Linked DNA regions of Cricetulus griseus. The protein of the gene in region 1 purifies or fractionates together with the protein of each later gene. This does not show direct contact. Links are inferred from orthologs where the notes say so. Each region holds a gene or a part of one and is shown in the gene's direction. Other genes may lie near its edges.

The links. The genes of interacting proteins can lie anywhere in the genome.
Region 2: the proteins of histone H3.3A (region 1) and Ubn1 purify together in Homo sapiens (affinity purification with western blotting, with the first as the bait; 3 studies listed by BioGRID). This does not show direct contact. The link is inferred for Cricetulus griseus from reciprocal best matches to the Homo sapiens genes H3-3A and UBN1.
Region 3: the proteins of histone H3.3A (region 1) and Cabin1 purify together in Homo sapiens (affinity purification with western blotting, with the first as the bait; 3 studies listed by BioGRID). This does not show direct contact. The link is inferred for Cricetulus griseus from reciprocal best matches to the Homo sapiens genes H3-3A and CABIN1.

What each region holds. Positions count from the first base shown.
Region 1 is NC_048598.1:13,473,093-13,479,399, forward strand, and holds the start of histone H3.3A, read left to right. Parts: upstream 1-2,809; 5' UTR 2,810-2,954; intron 2,955-4,508; 5' UTR 4,509-4,531; coding exon 4,532-4,659; intron 4,660-6,112; coding exon 6,113-6,266; intron 6,267-6,307. UniProt on the Homo sapiens protein: Variant histone H3 which replaces conventional H3 in a wide range of nucleosomes in active genes. Constitutes the predominant form of histone H3 in non-dividing cells and is incorporated into chromatin independently of DNA synthesis.
Region 2 is NC_048600.1:41,615,584-41,621,433, reverse strand, and holds part of Ubn1 (ubinuclein-1), read left to right. Parts: intron 1-2,188; coding exon 2,189-2,438; intron 2,439-2,670; coding exon 2,671-2,760; intron 2,761-4,700; coding exon 4,701-4,750; 3' UTR 4,751-5,850. UniProt on the Homo sapiens protein: Acts as a novel regulator of senescence. Involved in the formation of senescence-associated heterochromatin foci (SAHF), which represses expression of proliferation-promoting genes. Binds to proliferation-promoting genes.
Region 3 is NW_023276806.1:262,943,902-262,948,533, forward strand, and holds the end of Cabin1 (calcineurin-binding protein cabin-1), read left to right. Parts: intron 1-900; coding exon 901-1,065; intron 1,066-1,922; coding exon 1,923-2,149; intron 2,150-2,316; coding exon 2,317-2,466; 3' UTR 2,467-2,857; downstream 2,858-4,632. UniProt on the Homo sapiens protein: May be required for replication-independent chromatin assembly. May serve as a negative regulator of T-cell receptor (TCR) signaling via inhibition of calcineurin. Inhibition of activated calcineurin is dependent on both PKC and calcium signals.

The sequences.
Region 1 (6,307 bases):
CCATCACACTTAGTTTTGGCAATTTCATCTATCATTTCATTTATACGCAAATATTAACTAATGGCCACAATTATTATGTTCTACGGGTAATATTTTAACTTAAAGCTTTTACTCCCCTCCTTCCTGTTATTATAAACTCCAAATGTTGAAGCCATAACTGATCTCTGCAAGTGGATTCTGTTAGCTGGGTGTGGTGACATGTAGCTTTAATCCCAACATTCAGGAGGCAGACAGATAGATCTCTGTGAGCCAGCCTGCTGGTCTACATGTCAGTTCCAGACTAAGCCAAGGGCTACAGGAAACCCTCTAAAAGAACAAAAGACCAGTGCCCTTTAAGAATCCTTCAGTAGATGGGGCTGGAGAGATGGCTCAGTGGTTAAGAGCACTGGCTGCTTTTTCAGAGGGCCCGGGGTTCAATTCCCAGCACCCACATGGCAGCTCACAACTGTCTGTTACTTCAGTTTCAGGGGATCTGACACCTTCACACCAATACACATAAAATAAAGTTAAATAAATTGTTAAAAAGTAAAAATTAAAAAAATAAAGAATCCTTCAGCAGAAAAGGGCTTTTTTTCCTTCAGTAGCAGCTCCCTGCCCTCCATTAACTGGAAATGAAATCTCCATTTCCCTTAGCTACAGTCTTTGCCACTCTTGGGGATCCAAGGCATCCTATCCCCTGGCCAAGTGCAGCTTCCCTGTGCAAGGCAACGCTTCCAGAGAGAGATTCAACCAGGGCATGACTCTTACTGGTTCTGTTCACTTCAGCATTCCTAGCCCTCCAAAACTATACTCACCAGAGCTGGGATGCTGGACATACATGCCAAATTTGGGAAACTTCCTGAAGTTACTAAGGACAACCAGTCATGTTCCCAGAAAGAGTCTATGGTCCATCTTCACATAAATAAATACTACTACTTCCGAGTTACAGATGGGACTTTAGAGAACCCACCATCTACATGAAGTAGTTCACCTGACAGTCCTTCAATCCCTTAGAAATATTTGTTTAGCCTGGCAGTAGTGTCGCACGCCTTTAATCCCAGCACTTGGGAGGCAGAGGCAGGCAGATCTCTTCGAGTTCAAGGCCAGCCTGGTCTACAGAGTGAGTTCCAGTACACAAAAATACACAGAGAAACCCTGTCTCGAAAAAAAGAAATATTTACTTAAAGTCGGGAATAAAGCATGGGAAAACCTAGCAAGCATACAAAGAGAGTACTATCTGTAGAGTACTATCTGTGACTCGGTAACATTTCTTGGAGTACTATCTGTAGAGTACTATCTGTGACTCGGTAACATTTCTTGAAGACTGATTGATTCAAGTGATATGTAACAGCCTTCTTGGATAAATCCAGCCGCAAATATTTTAGTTCCCTGAAAACAAAAAACAAGCAAAAGAAAAAAAAAAGTGCTTCTTGGCTCAAATTATAGGGATTTCTTTCTTTACTGGCAGCTCAGTGTAGGCTTTTTCTGCATGTGTTTTTAGGATAGTATCGCAGATTGCACGTGTTTTTATCACATCAACACTTAACACTCTTTAAATAATAACGAAACGGGAGGCCTGGATTCTGTCTGTTTCTCCGGGGCTTGTTCCTCACTTAAGTGACCTTGGGCAAGTATCATTCCTTCTCTCCTATCTGGTTTCTACATATCTGTTCCAGCATCTCCTTCACAACCCTATGGGATCTCTCTTGTACCGAAAGCCCTCACCCAGGGCTGTGAAGCCTGGTCCCTACCGTCTGGGGGTCAGCTAATGACAACCTGAGCTGCGCCGTGCTGCTCAAGCTACCGAGCGGTGCTGGAAAGCGGGAAACACGGCAAGCCCTGCGGCAGCTCTTCCTTAGTACCTGCCGTTTTCAGCCTCTTACAGCGACAGCCTTAAGCTGCTATGTCACAGTCTCCTTCCACAGCGATCTTCCGAGGAGGGTGAGGCCGCTCGCTGAGCGGCCCACTCGGGCTGGACCGGCAGCCGGGCCGTGCGCAGCGACAGCTGTGCTGCACATTGTTCCCGAGGCTCACAACACACAGCCATCTTGCATCAAGAACGGCGGCCCAGGCAGGAGCGGGTGAGCGCGGTGTCGCCGCCGCCGCCGTCGGGGAAGCAGCGCTGGCAGTGGCCGCCCCGCCTCTCCCGGGTAGAGTCCGCGACGGGCTTGTCCTCAGGCGATTTGGCCCGGCCCTCGGACGCGCCCGCGCCCCGCGCCCGCGCTAGGCGGGAAGCGAACCGCGGGGCCCCGCCCCTGCCGCGCGCAACGGGCGCGGCCCGAGAGTGGGCGCGGGCCTCGGGCTTCCACTCGCCGGCTTCCGGCTCGGGCGCCTCGTCCACCGGGCGCGGCGACCGCGGGGCCGCGGCCTTCTCCCCGCCCCACGCGGGCGGGCGCCTCGGGGACGCGCGCGGGGGCGGCGCCCCTCCCCCCGCAGGCCGGGCGCTGGCCCGCGGCCCGCCCTCCCATCCCCCACGGGCCCCCTCGGTACCCCCCCTTATCCCTCACCCCCCCACCCCCGGGAGCCGGGGCTCCGGGGGCTCCCCGTGGCGCTGGCCCCGGGCGGGGAGGGAAGCGAGCGCGGGCCGGGCCGGGGGCGGGCGGCGTCTCGGCGGGCCCCGCGGCCCCTCGGCGTGTCTTTTGTGTTTGTACACACCGCGAGAGGCGGCGGGAGCCGGGGGCGGGCGGCGCGCGGGGTGGGGGGGCGGGGGTGGAGGAGGAGCGAGCGCGCGCGCCAGCGAACGGGCGCGCGGGGGGAGGGGCGGGGGGCGGGCGCGCGGGCCCCGGGGCGGGGCCGAGCCTTCCCTCCATTGTGTGTGATTGGCTGGCGCGGCGCGGGGCGGGGCGGCGTGTGTGGGGGTAGCCTCGGTGTCAGCCATCTTTCAATTGTGTTCGCAGCCGTCGCCGCCGCCGCCGCCGCTCTCTAACGCCAGCGCCGCCTCTCGCTTGCCGAGCTCCAGCCGAAGGAGAAGGGGGGTAAGTTTCTCCGTCCGCCCGCTCTCCCGGAGCCGGGCCCCGTCCGCCGGCGCTGCCGTAGCGGGCCGCGGAGGGCCCCCGCAGCCCCTCGGGCTCGACCCTCAAACTTTTTGGCGCAGACACGGAGACGGGGAGCGAGTTTCCCTCTCCTCGGGCGGCGGCGGCGGCGGCGGCGGCGGCAGCTCTCCGTCTCCGCCTCAGCCCGGCGGCGGCCCCGCCGCGCCGCCTGCCGAGCCTGCTGGCCCTCCCGCGCCGCGGGCTCTCCTTTCTTCGGTGAAATCCCGCCCGCCGCCCCTTCCCGGGACCCCAGACCTTCACCAGGTCCCGCGCGAGCCCCTCAACTGCCGCCTGCGGGTCCCGGGCCGCAGTTTGTCGGGCGCGAAATGGGTAAAATCGCCGTCGCTTCCCGCCCCGGGCGAACTCGCTTTTTGCTGCCTCCCCACAGTTGTGGCTGAGCTTCACCATCTTGTCTCTCTTCTCTGGTCACCGACCATGTTTCTTTTCCCCCCCGTTTCTCTCTTCCCCATTTTAAAATGGAAGGAGGAAAAAAATCTTAAGCACCTTTTTTTTTATTTTTTTGCCTTTTTTGGAGGAAAAAAAAGGAAACTTGATGCATATGAAATTCGAAATAACGAAAAAAAGAACTTTTGCATTTGGGGGAGAGCGGCACGTGGCAGGGGATGGGGTATTTTTCGAAGGGTTTGCTGTTTGTGTCTTTGGAAGGGAGTCGGATACATTTTGCAATTGTTTCCATTTTGTGCTAGCCTTGGGGAGCCGAGTCGTTCGCTGCCGGCACGGGGCGCCCGGGCCGGGCCGGGCAGGGCAGGTCGGGGACCCGGGACCCGGGGACCCGGGGGAGGCAGAAGCAAAAGTTTATGTGGTGCTGGGGTGGGCCGGGCGGCCGGTGTCGAGCGCTAATTAAGACTGGGTGCGGGGCAGTCGGCTGGCATAGCGAAGCCCGGGAGGACGGGCTTTGTGGAATGCTCGCTGGCAATAGCTGTTGTTCTTGTCTTTCGAGACGCCTTTTTGTCAACATAACCGTAAAGATAGAAACCTCAAGAATGTTTACAGATATTTACAGCAATCCAACTGCCGAGCGCGAGGCGGGGGGCGCGAACGGGGGGGGGACGCTGGAACCTTTTTTCTTTTTTTCTTTCTTTTTTTTTTTTTTGGCTGTAATTTGACTCGACCTTTCTGTGGTTTGTGGCTTCTTTCGTTTGACTTGTTTGTGATCGAATGCTTGCAGGCATTTCTAATTTCTACTTTAATTAAAGAAATTGAATTAAAACCCATTGGGGTGGTCTCGCTGGTTTTGGCCGTTTGTCGCTTGGAATTGGCGTTATGAGTATTAATGCTGACAATTTTCCGGTTTGTTTTAAGTCGTATTTGGGTAGTAGACCTAACCTGCGCCCTTTCAAATTAATTATATAACAGCCTTTTTTTTTTCTCAGTAATGATAGGTTTCTGGGATTTTTTTTTTTTTTAGGGGGTGGCTTCTGGCAAGAAAATGTATGTTTTAGTTGAATATGATTTTTTTTTTTTTAATACTGGTAGGTAAGTAAGGAGGTGCTCTTACCATGGCTCGTACAAAGCAGACTGCCCGCAAATCCACCGGTGGTAAAGCACCCAGGAAACAACTGGCTACAAAAGCCGCTCGCAAGAGTGCGCCCTCTACTGGAGGGGTGAAAAAACCTCATCGTTACAGGTATTTATAAAAGGGGGAGGAATAGGACAGTGTCTAAACAGTATGTCCATGTAATTTAACAGGAAGGTGAGGGAAAGATGTTTTCCTTCTGAATGTTTACTGCTGCTTGAAAATACACGTGCATATGTTCATTTATGAATACATGTAACTTAGTGTCAGGCTTTATTGATAACATTTTGAAGTTGTAATCTGATCTAAATTCTAAAGGGACGCGGTTCTCAACTGGTAGTAGGACACATTAACATTTTAACCATTAGCATTTTAAGTATGAAATGGTTTCATATGTGTATACAGGCACATAAAAATGGTTGTGTTTTTACACATACTTTTTGTTTTGGTTGACCCACACTTGTGGTAAAGTGTAGTACCTTAGGGAGACTAGTAAAGAAAGTCTCTTGGTCATAATTACTTGGGTTTTTCCCTCCTTTACTCCCTCATTTTATTTTTATGTAAGCACTGTTGTTAAGGACATCTGCCATTAGAGGGCATAAGTTGCCCAAATTTGCATAGACAGATTGTACAGTGAACAGCTCATAGAGTTGAAATAAGTCAAATTTAGGGGTTAAAGGATTTGTTTTCTCTCTTATCTTTCCCACTCTCTTCCCCCAATAAAGCTTCCCAAGTTAAAAAAAAAAAGTATTATAGACAATGACTTAATTTTAGAAAATTTTTCATGTGGGAGAAACAATGTGAAATCAAGTTTTCAAATTCAGTCATTCATGACTGGTGATACAATACTGGGAGATCAAATACGAGTGTTTTAAGTGAATCGTTGTAAATTATGTTGGTAACTCTTTTAGGACTTTAAAACCTAAGGCACAGATGGGGCAACAGAAAGTGTTGCTTAAACTGGGAAGATGTCTTTATTGCCAGCCTAACTTCGAATATGCTCCCAAGTCTTGTTTGTTTGTTTGTTTTTAAGGCGGGGCTCACTCTAACCTATCCTTGCCTGGAATTCATTATGTAGATCAGGCTGGTATCAAGCCTCCTGCCTCTGCCTCCTGAGTCCTGGTGCAAGTATTCAATACCACACTCAGGTGTGGTTCTCAGGTCAAGATTCGGGGGTGGGTGAACAGATAAAATGAATATGGTGCTTTCATAAACTGCCACTTTGTGTTTGTTTTGTTTTGTTTTTTGTGATCTCGAAGGGCGGTGGTGGCGCACGCCTTTAATCCCAGCACTTGGGAGGCAGAGGCAGGTGGATCTCTGAGTTCGAGACCAGCCTGGTCGACAAGAGCTAGTTCCAGGACAGTCTCCAAAGCTACACAGGGAAACCCTGTCTTGAAAAACCAAAAAAAAAAAGTGATCTCAACAGATTTGAATATTCAGGTCATAAAACTGATCTGTGAAATGGGGCGCTCAAGAATGGTTTAGAGTTCATGTATTTCTTTAAAACTGACTACTGTTGTGTTGTGTGTGTTTAGTAACAACTTTTTAATGTTAACTTTTGAAGGCCTGGTACTGTGGCACTCCGTGAAATCAGACGCTATCAGAAATCCACTGAACTTCTGATTCGCAAGCTCCCCTTCCAGCGTCTGGTTCGAGAAATTGCTCAGGACTTCAAAACAGATCTGCGCTTCCAGAGTGCAGCTATTGGTGCTTTGCAGGTAAATAGATGGGTGGGAAGACCCTGTTTTTGTTGATGATT
Region 2 (5,850 bases), on another chromosome or scaffold:
CTCCCTGCCACCCTGAATAGTGACTGTGCACATTAGTTTTCAGGAGAAAAAAATGGTGTGTGCACACATGTGTTTATATGAGTGGGGGCACATGTGTGCCATGGTAAGTGTGTTGAGTTCAGTCTTCACCTTCTATCTTGTTTGAGACAGGATCTCTTTGTTGTTCACTATTGCATCAGGCTAGCTGGCCCTTGAGTTTATAGGGTGTCTCATCGTATGGGTGCACCAGATTATAGATTCAATGACACCACACCCACTTTTATATGGGGCCTGGGGATTTAAACTCAGGTCTCAGGGCTGAGGCTCTAGCTCAGTGATAAGAGTACTTGTCTAGCATTCTCAAGGACCTATATTCAATCCCTACTACTGCTAGGAAAAAGGGAAACCACTGACTTAATGCTGCCTTAGGCTGGTGCTTTAGCTCAGTTGGTGGATTGCTTGACTAGTGTGTACGAAGCCCTGGATTTGATCCCCAGCACCACACAAACTGGGCATGGTGATGAATACTTGTAACCCTAGCACTGGGAGGTAGAGTCAGTAGAATCAGAAGTTCAAGGTTATCCTCAGCTGTATAATAGACCAGTGTGGGCCTATTATGAGACCCTGTCTCAAAAATAGAACAAGGATTTTCTGTTTCCTGTGAGCCCTTCCTTGGTTTGCAGCCATGCTGAAGATATCTATAAAAACTTATGTTTTTTGATCTTTCTGAGGTGTCTGTAACCTGTCAAAGTGAGACAAGGGCATATAGTGGATAAGCTGCAATCAGCCTAATGAACACTCTCACTCTCTCTCTCTCTCTCTCTCTCTCTCTCTCTCTCTCTATATATATATATATATATATATATATATCTTTCTCTCTCTCTCTCAATCTCTCAGTCTCTCGCCTTTGCCTCCTTCGTATTAGGATTGAAGGTGTGTGCCGCCATGCCCAGCTGAAAAGGACTTCTTTTAGTTCATTTATGTTTTAACTTTCTGTGGTGTCAGGGTTCATGAATACATACTAGCTAGTCTCATTGAAAGTTTTAGTATGATCTGGTGCAGTTAGATTTCACCAGCCACATTTCTCCATAGTGCTACAGTGACGCTTTCAGTTAACTTAAGAAGCCAATGATTGGTTGGAAGTGTTCACTTTCACATGAACATAAATATATAGGGAACCATTTTCAGTTGGATCTTTTTAAATGAGAAACTTGCCATTTGTCCATGTTTATGAAGGCTTTGGATGGGATTCAGGGCTCCTCTAGATTTTAAATTTGTCATGAAGATAACTTCTGGGGAGGGTGTTTTGCTTGTTTTTTTTTTTTTTTTTTTTTTTTGTGTGTGTGTGTGTGTGTGTGTGTGTGTGTGTGAGTGTTTTGTCTGCATGTCTACCATGTGCATGCTGGGTGCCCACAGAGGTCAGAAGAGGGTGTTGGATCTCTTGGAGCTGTAGTTAAGACCATTGTGAGCCATCATAATAGGCAATGGGAATCAAACCGGGGCCCTAGGGAAGAATAGCTAATTTTTAACAACTCCAACAGCTGGGCAATGGTAGTGCATGCATGCCTTTAATCCCAGCACTTGGGAGGCAGAGGCAGGTAGATAGATCTCTGAGTTCTAGGACAGCCTGGTCTACAGAGCAAGTTCCAAGACAGCCAGGGCTACACAAAGAAACCAGAAAACAGACAAATAAACCAACAAATAAAACCACAAAGGTCTTCACTGAGCTATCCCTGCCCATTTTTGTGTTACATAAATTTATATAATAAATTTAAATTAGTGTATATAAATCTGTTTATATATCTATTAGTTTGTATGTGCATTATGGATATACACATGCTATATATATACACATATATAGTAACCATACATATTTTTTGTTTTTGATTTTTTTTTTTTTTGAAACAGGGTTTCTCTGTGTATCCTTGACTGTCCTGGGACTTACTCTGTAGACCAGGCTAGCCTCAACTCATGGATATCCCCCTGCCTCTGCCTCTCCTGAGTGCTGGGAATAAAGGCGTATGCTACCACTGCAGGGCTCATACATAATATATTACTTCTCTGCTTCATAAAAGAAACATATTTGCTATTTTAGGAATTATCTCTGTGCCCTAGAAGCCCCTAGATGCTGGCTCATAGAGACTTCCCCATTATTCTTTTGAGTGCTGAGTAGTGAGGTTCTTATTGTGTGTGTGTGTTTTCTCTCCAGAAAGGAACCGGAGGGGCAATGCTGCTGTCCAACACTTCTTCCTTAAGCCTGCTGTCTTCATCCTACAAGCCCAGCAACCCCAAGCTTCAGGGGGCTATGAACTCAAACTCACTGGGAATCATAACCTCTGTCCCATTTCCACTTCACGTGCTCTCCTTCAGTTCAGACTCCTCTGCCAAAGCAGGGGTCTCTAAGGATGCCATTGTTACAGGCCCAGCCCCTGGGACCTTCCATCATGGCCTCAGCCACAGTAAGTTCTTGTTTCCTGCCTCTGTTTCTATGTTGTGTGCCATGTTGGATCCTCTATGTGTTTGGTGTAACTGTGGGAGCACCCCTGTCCTGGGAAGCTGCTTAGTGCCCAGTGTTGTTGGTTTGTTCCAGATTGGCCTACAGGTTGCCTGGGGCTCTGAATCTCCCAAGCTGCTTTTCTGTTCTGTCTTCAATGTGTGTGTTTTGTTCTCTCCCCTCCTGTTTTCTCTCAGGTCTTCTGGCTGGCTTGCACTCCAGCCCACCCCACACAGCGCCTCTCCCACATACTGCTGTGTCCACCCATGTCCCACAGAGTCTGCCAGGTAAATGCCAGGTGGGCAGTGTGCCATGAGCCCTGTGGGCCATACCCCTTCACCCTTAGGTGCTTTGCTGCCAGCGCTTTTAGTCATCTCTGCTTCACCCTCACTGTTTTGTATTTTGCTTTGTCTTTTGAGGCTCTGGCTCTTTGGCTTTGGGTTCCAGAATAATATAACCCTGTACTACCAGAGGCTTTTCCTGGTTTCCTTTTTGAATGGCCATAAGGTCTGACTTAGCCTGTATAATAACAGTATATGTTGAGCCTGAACATGAAACAGAGGAGCTCCAACTCTTAATGTGCATTTAAAGAGAAGAAAGGTAATGGTGGCTCTTGTCCAAAGGTTAACCAAGTACTTCAGGGCCTTCATGGTGAAATACTACACACCTGCCAGGCATTGTCAAGTGGCAGATACTCTTTGAAAGGAATAAATATCCACAGAACAGGAAGAGAACATAATACATGACTATGAGAGAGTTAGTATGGACCCAAAAGAGAAGCAGTTTTCAATCTACCCTGGTGTAAACCTTCCTTTAAAACAGATTTGGAAGCACACCAGGAATGAAGCAATCCACCTTGGTGTAAAACCTTCCTTTAAAACAGATTTGGAAGTACACCAGGAATGAAGCCAGTGTCTCCTGACAGAATGGTGCTTCTGGAAGTAGGCAGCTCTAAAAGCCCTAGGTACATGTATTGCCAGCTTGAGAGCATGAGAATGGGGAATATTTGCCACAGGCAGCCATCTTGTAGTAAGTGGACTGGTCTCACTCTGTCCTGATTCCTGGATTCTTGCATATAGGCACCTCTTGGGATTTTGGCTTAGGGGCCTGATGAGAAACTGATTTTGACCTAGTGTTCTTAGCACTTTAGACCTGTTCTAAACAGAACCCAGGCCTATACTAGGGAGAGGAGGGCTGAGCTTAGGGATTATGGGGATTTGTATAGGGCAGGAGTCAGATGCAGACTCGAGGGCTATGTGTGCCTTTGACTGCTCATGGACAGTCTGGGCTCACAGCTCCTTGTGTGCTTTGTGATCTGCTTGTGTGTTCCTTGAAGCCATGTCTTAAAAGCTGAGAACTCTGTAGTGAATATCAAAGACCTTGTTAGGATGAGGGTGAGTTTGTAGGTTTCTTTGAGGAGCAAAGCCAGTGTCAGTTGTCACTCCTTTCCTCTGAAGAAGCAGTCACATCTGAGGACTTTCTCTGCACTGGTGGCTGCCACTTAAATTAAGTGCAATGTGGGTGACTCCTCAGCTACTGAGAGCCTGTGTGGTGTGAAAGTGAGATGGTGCCACCTTCCACTTGCTTTGGAAATGGCTCTCTTTGAGAGAAACAAAGTAATTGAAGAGTAGAAACAGACTCTGGGTCTGTGGAGTTTTCAGTCAACAGAGGCAGGAGGGAGACTGGATAGAGGGGGGGCAGGGGAATCAAACACTTTTTGTACTATTTTCCTGTTTTTCCCCGTGGTCTTCCAAAGCTATCTGAAGGGTTGGGGGTGTAGTTCAGTGGTCAAGCATTTTCCTATCATATATAAAGCCCCAGGTCTATTACCAGTACCACAGAGAGGAAAAGGAAAAACATCGTAGGCAATCAGAAGAGCAGCCATGCAAAATGGGTTAGCAGGGAGCTGAGACTTGTTTCTGCTCTTCCTTCTTTTCTCCCACATGGACTTGATGCTGTTGCTTTTGCCTTTGTCCCTCTGGTATCTGAGTGCATTTTGATGTTAAGAGAATGAACATTGTCTGGATTCTGTGTGGTCATCAGGCCTTGCAGTGGCCCTTGTCATGTTGCAGAATTTCTGTTCTGTAGACATTGCTCCTCAGCCCCCTGCCTGCACAGTGCTAGTTTGGGGACATTTGCTACTTAACATTCCTGTGAAGTTTGTTTATGCTGTCTAGAGGAGTTTGAGTGCTTAAAGAATGTTCTGTTTTTGCTTATTCTTTTCCAGATACTTCACAGCTTCATGGGAAAGGGCCTGTTGTACCAAGGAAATTGTGACCACTTTGGAGGATGGAATCAAATGAAGTAGGTCTGGGAGGAAGTCTACCATGTAGGTCTCTGATAACAGACATTTGCTGTGCTCTTCCTGTCCACTGCTTTTCTTCTGGAGCAGCAATGAGTTTGAAATGGAGCACTTCTTAGCACTTCTGATGGGCCTTCAACCAAGTGGCAGCTTCTGCTGCTTACGAAGCACTTACTGACCTGGTGCTCTGGGCCTTATGGCTTTGTCGCTGGACGACATCAAGGGGCAGCTCTGGGCTGGGAAGTGTGCCTAGACTGTGTTGGGAAGCACAGTGTGCATGAACTCCTGTGGCAGATCTGTTGCCTACTGGGTTCTAGGTCTGCCCAACTCCTGGCATTTGGTGTGAGTATCTCAGAGCTCCCTACTGGTCAGAACTCCTCCTGGCCACAGTAGAGTCCCTGGATGGTTGTGATTGCATCCCATCCTCAGACTGTGTGCTCAAGAGGACAAGACCCAGGTCAGAGCCACAGGTGGGAGACCTTGAAAAATACTAAGAACACCTAATATGTGCTCTTATAGGGGCCAGTTTCTCCTCAGAACATGACAATGAAGCTCTTATAGAGAAAAAGATCTTTATAGATTCATCAATCGTGGTAGGATTTTTAAAGACACCTATCTTGGGCTGTTTTCGTCATTTCCATTGAATGCATTGGATAGAATGGGACTGCTCTTCACACATCACATTATAGGAAGACTTAATTCCAGTGCCTTTTTGGTGGAGCAGACTTTGACAACTCGAATCTATCCATTCAGCCCCCTGAGTGGATCTGAGATGAAGACCTTTTTTTAAAGCTAGTCTGTATTTAAGACAGTTTTATTTAATTGGGTTTTTATGACTGCACATCATAATCTGTGCCGTCCTGACTTAAAAGTCATCTGAGCCCCCAAATCCCAGGTTCCCATGGAGCTACAGATCTGTTTTTTTTTTTTTTTTTTCTTTTTCTTTTTTTTTTTTTTTTTTAGAGTTGATGCAGGTGGGCTGCAGGGGAGCTCCTCAGTCCTCTGTCTGAGAGTCCAGGAGTTCCAAGCCACAGGTAGACATTCCACTCTGTCTTATTAGAAATCTCTCTGGCAG
Region 3 (4,632 bases), on another chromosome or scaffold:
GTGGCACTCAGGCCCTGGCCTTTTCCCTGCTGGAAGAGGATGGCTGTTCCTGGCAGAAGCCTGGGGGGCAGGGTGAGAGCTGGGCAGATAGTGTCCCTGAGTGAGCAGGAAGGAGGGAGCACCTGCAAGTCCACTACAAACTTCAAGGAGGTGAGAGACAGATCCTAACTAGTAATAGAGGTATGCTGTTGTCCCTAGTTCCATCCAGTCTTTCGCACATGTGACTACTTCCAAGCCCTTGGCTTGTGCCAGGGAAGGAGGGATTTGGCCTAGCAGGAAGATGTGGTGCCCTTGTGTTCTCTGTCTACTTTGGTCTTAGTTAATGGCTTGGATGGTTTTGACTCCGGTTGTGATTGCCATTCCTATGAGCCAGGAAGAGGGATAGGCACCTCACACATAAGCCTGCCCCTGACAGCCATGAGGTGAGGCTTTACCCAGGCCAAGAGCTGAGTTCCTGTGAGCAGCTGAGACAGGGCACAGATGTAGTCTCACTAGCCACTCAGTTATGCGGGCCCCTCAAGACCTCTTAGCCAGGGTTCCCAAAGACCCTCACTCAGGATGGAAGGACAAGGCGCCAGCCCAAAAAGACTAGGCAGGGCTCTGCTTATGTCAGGAACAGCTGCCCAGCTTGGCCTCTCTCCCTCCCCTTGAGGTGTGATAGATATCTTGAAATTATCTGTCTGTGCCTTCGTGCAGCTGTCCCAGAAGAATGCTTGCTGCTTCCTGGTTCCTGTGGGGATGGGGAGACACCTAATCCCAAAGTACCCATGTTGGCCATGTGTTCTAGGGCATAGTCTGGGCCTACAAGGCCTGTCTCACTAGTGTGGGGATCTGGGAAGGGGACCTGCCCTCACCCCATGAAATGGGGGTGTAACCTGCAGTTGGCCTGTGTCTCCATAGAGGGTGAAGAGCAATCAGGAGCGACAGAAGGTACCAGCTTCCCACCCCAAGAACCACGGCACAGTCACCAGATGAAAATGGCTGCCACAGGGCCCCTGGCTGAGCAGCACTGCTGGTCAGTGGAGGCTGCTGGCCAGACTGGTGCCGAGCCCACCTGTAGCCAAGGTAAGGCCAGTTGAGAGCAGCCCAGCACCAGCTCCCACCAGGCTGCTCTCAGATGACAGCCGAAGGTGGGCTTCCCCACAGAGGAGCCGGCTTGGTAGATTGAAGGATAGAACCTAGCAAGGGACTATTATTGTGACCCTAAAGCCTCCTTTCACCTCAGCTCCACAGAAGGGTCCTACCGGTAGGGTTTGGAGTTCTGTATGGGGAGGAGCTTGGGCCTGTCACTGAGGTTTCTCTGTGGGAATCCACCAGCCACTCTACTGGTCGGGCCCCTTGAGACCACTTGGCCAGGTCTCCCATATACCACTCAGGATGGAAGGACATGGCGCCAGCCCATGAACACCGGGCAGGGCTCTGGATAAGCTCCCACTCCTTTTAAAGAGATGAGGCTAAAAGAATGTGGAGCCTTGCCAGGGCAACTGGGTTATTCCCAGTTCACGCAGCTCCCTTGAGGCTGCCAGGTCCCAGATCTGCAGTCTGCCATGGCCTTGGCTGCCTCCAGGAGGCTCAGCTCCTTACTCATCCTGCAGTGAGAGGAAAAGTATATACTGGGCCCCCTGGAGTGGAATAGCTCAGAAGATACAACGGTTGTGTCATCTTGGTGATGAGGGACCCTTCCGAATCCCTGGGAAATCTCAGAGGGACTGCTGGAGTCCACTGATGCTCCTCAAAGCCCAGGGTGCTCCTCGTTGCAAGGCTAGCATGCTAAGGTCTGCAACCCGAGGTGAGCCCAGGACCCTTACGTCAATGTAGGCAGAAGGCCAGAAAAGGATCCATGGTGTGGGCCCACTGAGTTCTTAGCAAAGAGACAGGCAGACTGAGGCTGAGTGAACTCAAACTCTGTGGTCTCCTAACAGCCACCAGCACTAAGGTCCCCAGCATCGGAAGTACCCAGACACCCGAGAGCCATCAAGGCAAGGCTGAGTCCAGCAGGACCAAATCCCGCCTCCTGTCCAACATGCCAAAGCTGGTGATCCCCTCGGCCACCACCAAGTTCCCCCCTGAGATCACCGTCACACCACCTACCCCGACCCTGCTTTCCCCCAAAGGCAGCATCTCCGAGGAGACCAAGCAGAAGCTGAAGGTGACTGTGGGTACTAGGCAGGAGGCCTGGTGTAGGGGCTCATGGTACTGGCGGTCTGGGAAGGGACTTGAGTTACAGGGAGGCCTGGCTGAGAATTTGGTTCATGTCAAGAGGGTTAGGGTAAGGCCAGTCACTCCTGACCATGTTCTGCCCTACCCTGTGTGCAGTCAGCCATCCTGTCCGCCCAGTCAGCTGCCAATGTGAGGAAGGAGAGCCTGTGCCAGCCAGCCCTGGAGGTTCTGGAGACATCCAGCCAGGAGTCTTCACTGGAGAGTGAGACAGACGAGGATGACGACTACATGATGATGGACATGTGAGGGCCCCACCCAGAGCCCTAACAGTCAGGCCTGGGATCCCTGTGGGCCAGACCCTGGGACGGCCAGAAGCCCATGTGAAGGTACCATTTCCCATGGCTTCCTAAGCCTGCCCAGCCCCCTCTTTACAGCATCCTGCTCTGGTTGAGCTGTCCACACCCAGTGTGTTAGCCCAGAGGAAGATGAGACATGTCTTAGGCACATGAGGATGAACTGGTTGTGGTCTGCACAGAAGGGCCGGCACTTTTGTTTTGTTTTGTGAATATTGACTTTCTTTACAAGCCCGTGCCCCCCTGGCCAGGCCCACAGTTCATTGCCAAGACATCGAGAGCCTAGCTCACACCATATACCCTTTTTGTCATTGTTCTTTTCTAATAAAGCTGAGAAAATGGTCTTTGCTTCTCTGCTTACTCTGGGGGGGGGGGTGTGCTCACATGGTACAGGGATTAATTACACGGTGTGTGGGGGGGAGGCAAATTACTGTTCAAAAGCCCCTGGATGACTGGGGAGCTCCTGTAGTGTAAGGACACAAAGAAAGAAGACCCTGTGTGATGCCAAGGAGTTAACAGAAGGGCACAGTGGGGGTGAAAGCAGCTCAGGAGCAGGGGGTGTCCCTCCTCATAGTTCCTCCCTGACAGTATCAGCTACACCAGTGTGGAGCCCGGACAGAATGCATGGGGGCTGCAGAATTGCCTTAGTTGTCAAGAGCACCAACTGCTCTGCCAGGATCAGTGCCCAGCACACACATGGCAGTCCACATCCAGCCCTAACTCCAGTTCTAGGAAATGCAGTGCTCCCTTCTGGCTTCACCAGGCACTGCACCCGTGTGCACACAGACATACATGCAGCAAATCAAAAGCGCGAGGTCTGGGGAGAGAGACGAGACCCTGCTGCGTAACCAGACAGGCAGCCATGCCACAGCCTCCTGAGCAACTACACAGCACTTGGCTGAAACTTTTTTTTTTTTTTTTTTTTTTTTTTTTTGTGGCTTTGGAGATGTCCTGGAACTACCTCTTGTAGACCAGGCTGGTCTTGAACTCACAGAGATCCACCTACCTCTGCCTCCCGAGTGCTGGGATTAAAGGCGTGCGCCACCAACGCCCAGCTAAAAGTTAACTTTTAAGACCACAACACGACAGATCATGATACTGGCCCTTTCCCTTTCCTGTGCTCCATGCCATTTATTTTGGAGATACTTAGGTTCCAGGGGCTCATACCTGCCTGTTACAACTGTCACCGACACCACTTCAGAGTCCTCTTTGTCTCTCCTCAAAAAGCTCTAGGCCAGAATGGAGATGAAGGGTACTTTTGTGCCTTCATGGGCTGAGCACATACCCTCAACTGAGAAGGAAGAAACTGTAGACTAGACCCTAGATTCCCTAATCCAGGCCCTTTGCAGCTAGAAACATGGCAACCCAAGATAAGTCCTCAGACCAGCCACCTGAAGAGCCAAGAAACCAGGGACTGCAGTCACTCATCGGAGCACCTCCACCTACCCAGACCCCCACCAGCCATGGTAGGGAGAACCCTCAGACCCAGGCCTGGGTGCTGGCACAGGCTATTCCCTGCCATGGGACCTGTGTGCACACAAAGGTATCCACCCAGAGCACCCTGTGGCTTGGGAGATTTTCTTCCCCCTCTGCAAGGTGTGTGTGACGGCCTTGGAAGACTTGTCACCACACATGCCTTGTGGTGTAGTGGGAACACTCCTAAGCACAAGTTTCTTCAGATACTCAAGGGAGATCCACAGGTGACCTCCAGAGGTACTAGTTACTAAGAAAGGACAAGGCCCATAGAACAATGGGCTGGCTGACACCCAGGACCAGAGGAGGATCACAGACCAGATGACTTCAGCTCATAAGCCAGCCTGCCTAGCTCCTCCTGTGAGGCCAGCCACACTGTGTCTGCATTGAGAAACCTCAGCTTCCCTGTCCTAATGGCTAGCCCAGGTGACAGACCCAGGCTTGGGGGCCTGCATGGGCCACCCTGGCGTCAATGACTCCCAGAAGCCGCTAGAGGCTCTCCATCATGCTCCTTCCTCCTCTGCAGAAGCTTAGAGAAGCCAGAACAGGGTATGTTGCCAATAATGACAACACTGGGGCTAGGCTGGCCTCAGCTCTGGGTGGTAACTGAAGCCTGCTGCGAATCAGAAGTGGCCCAGTCTCAAGT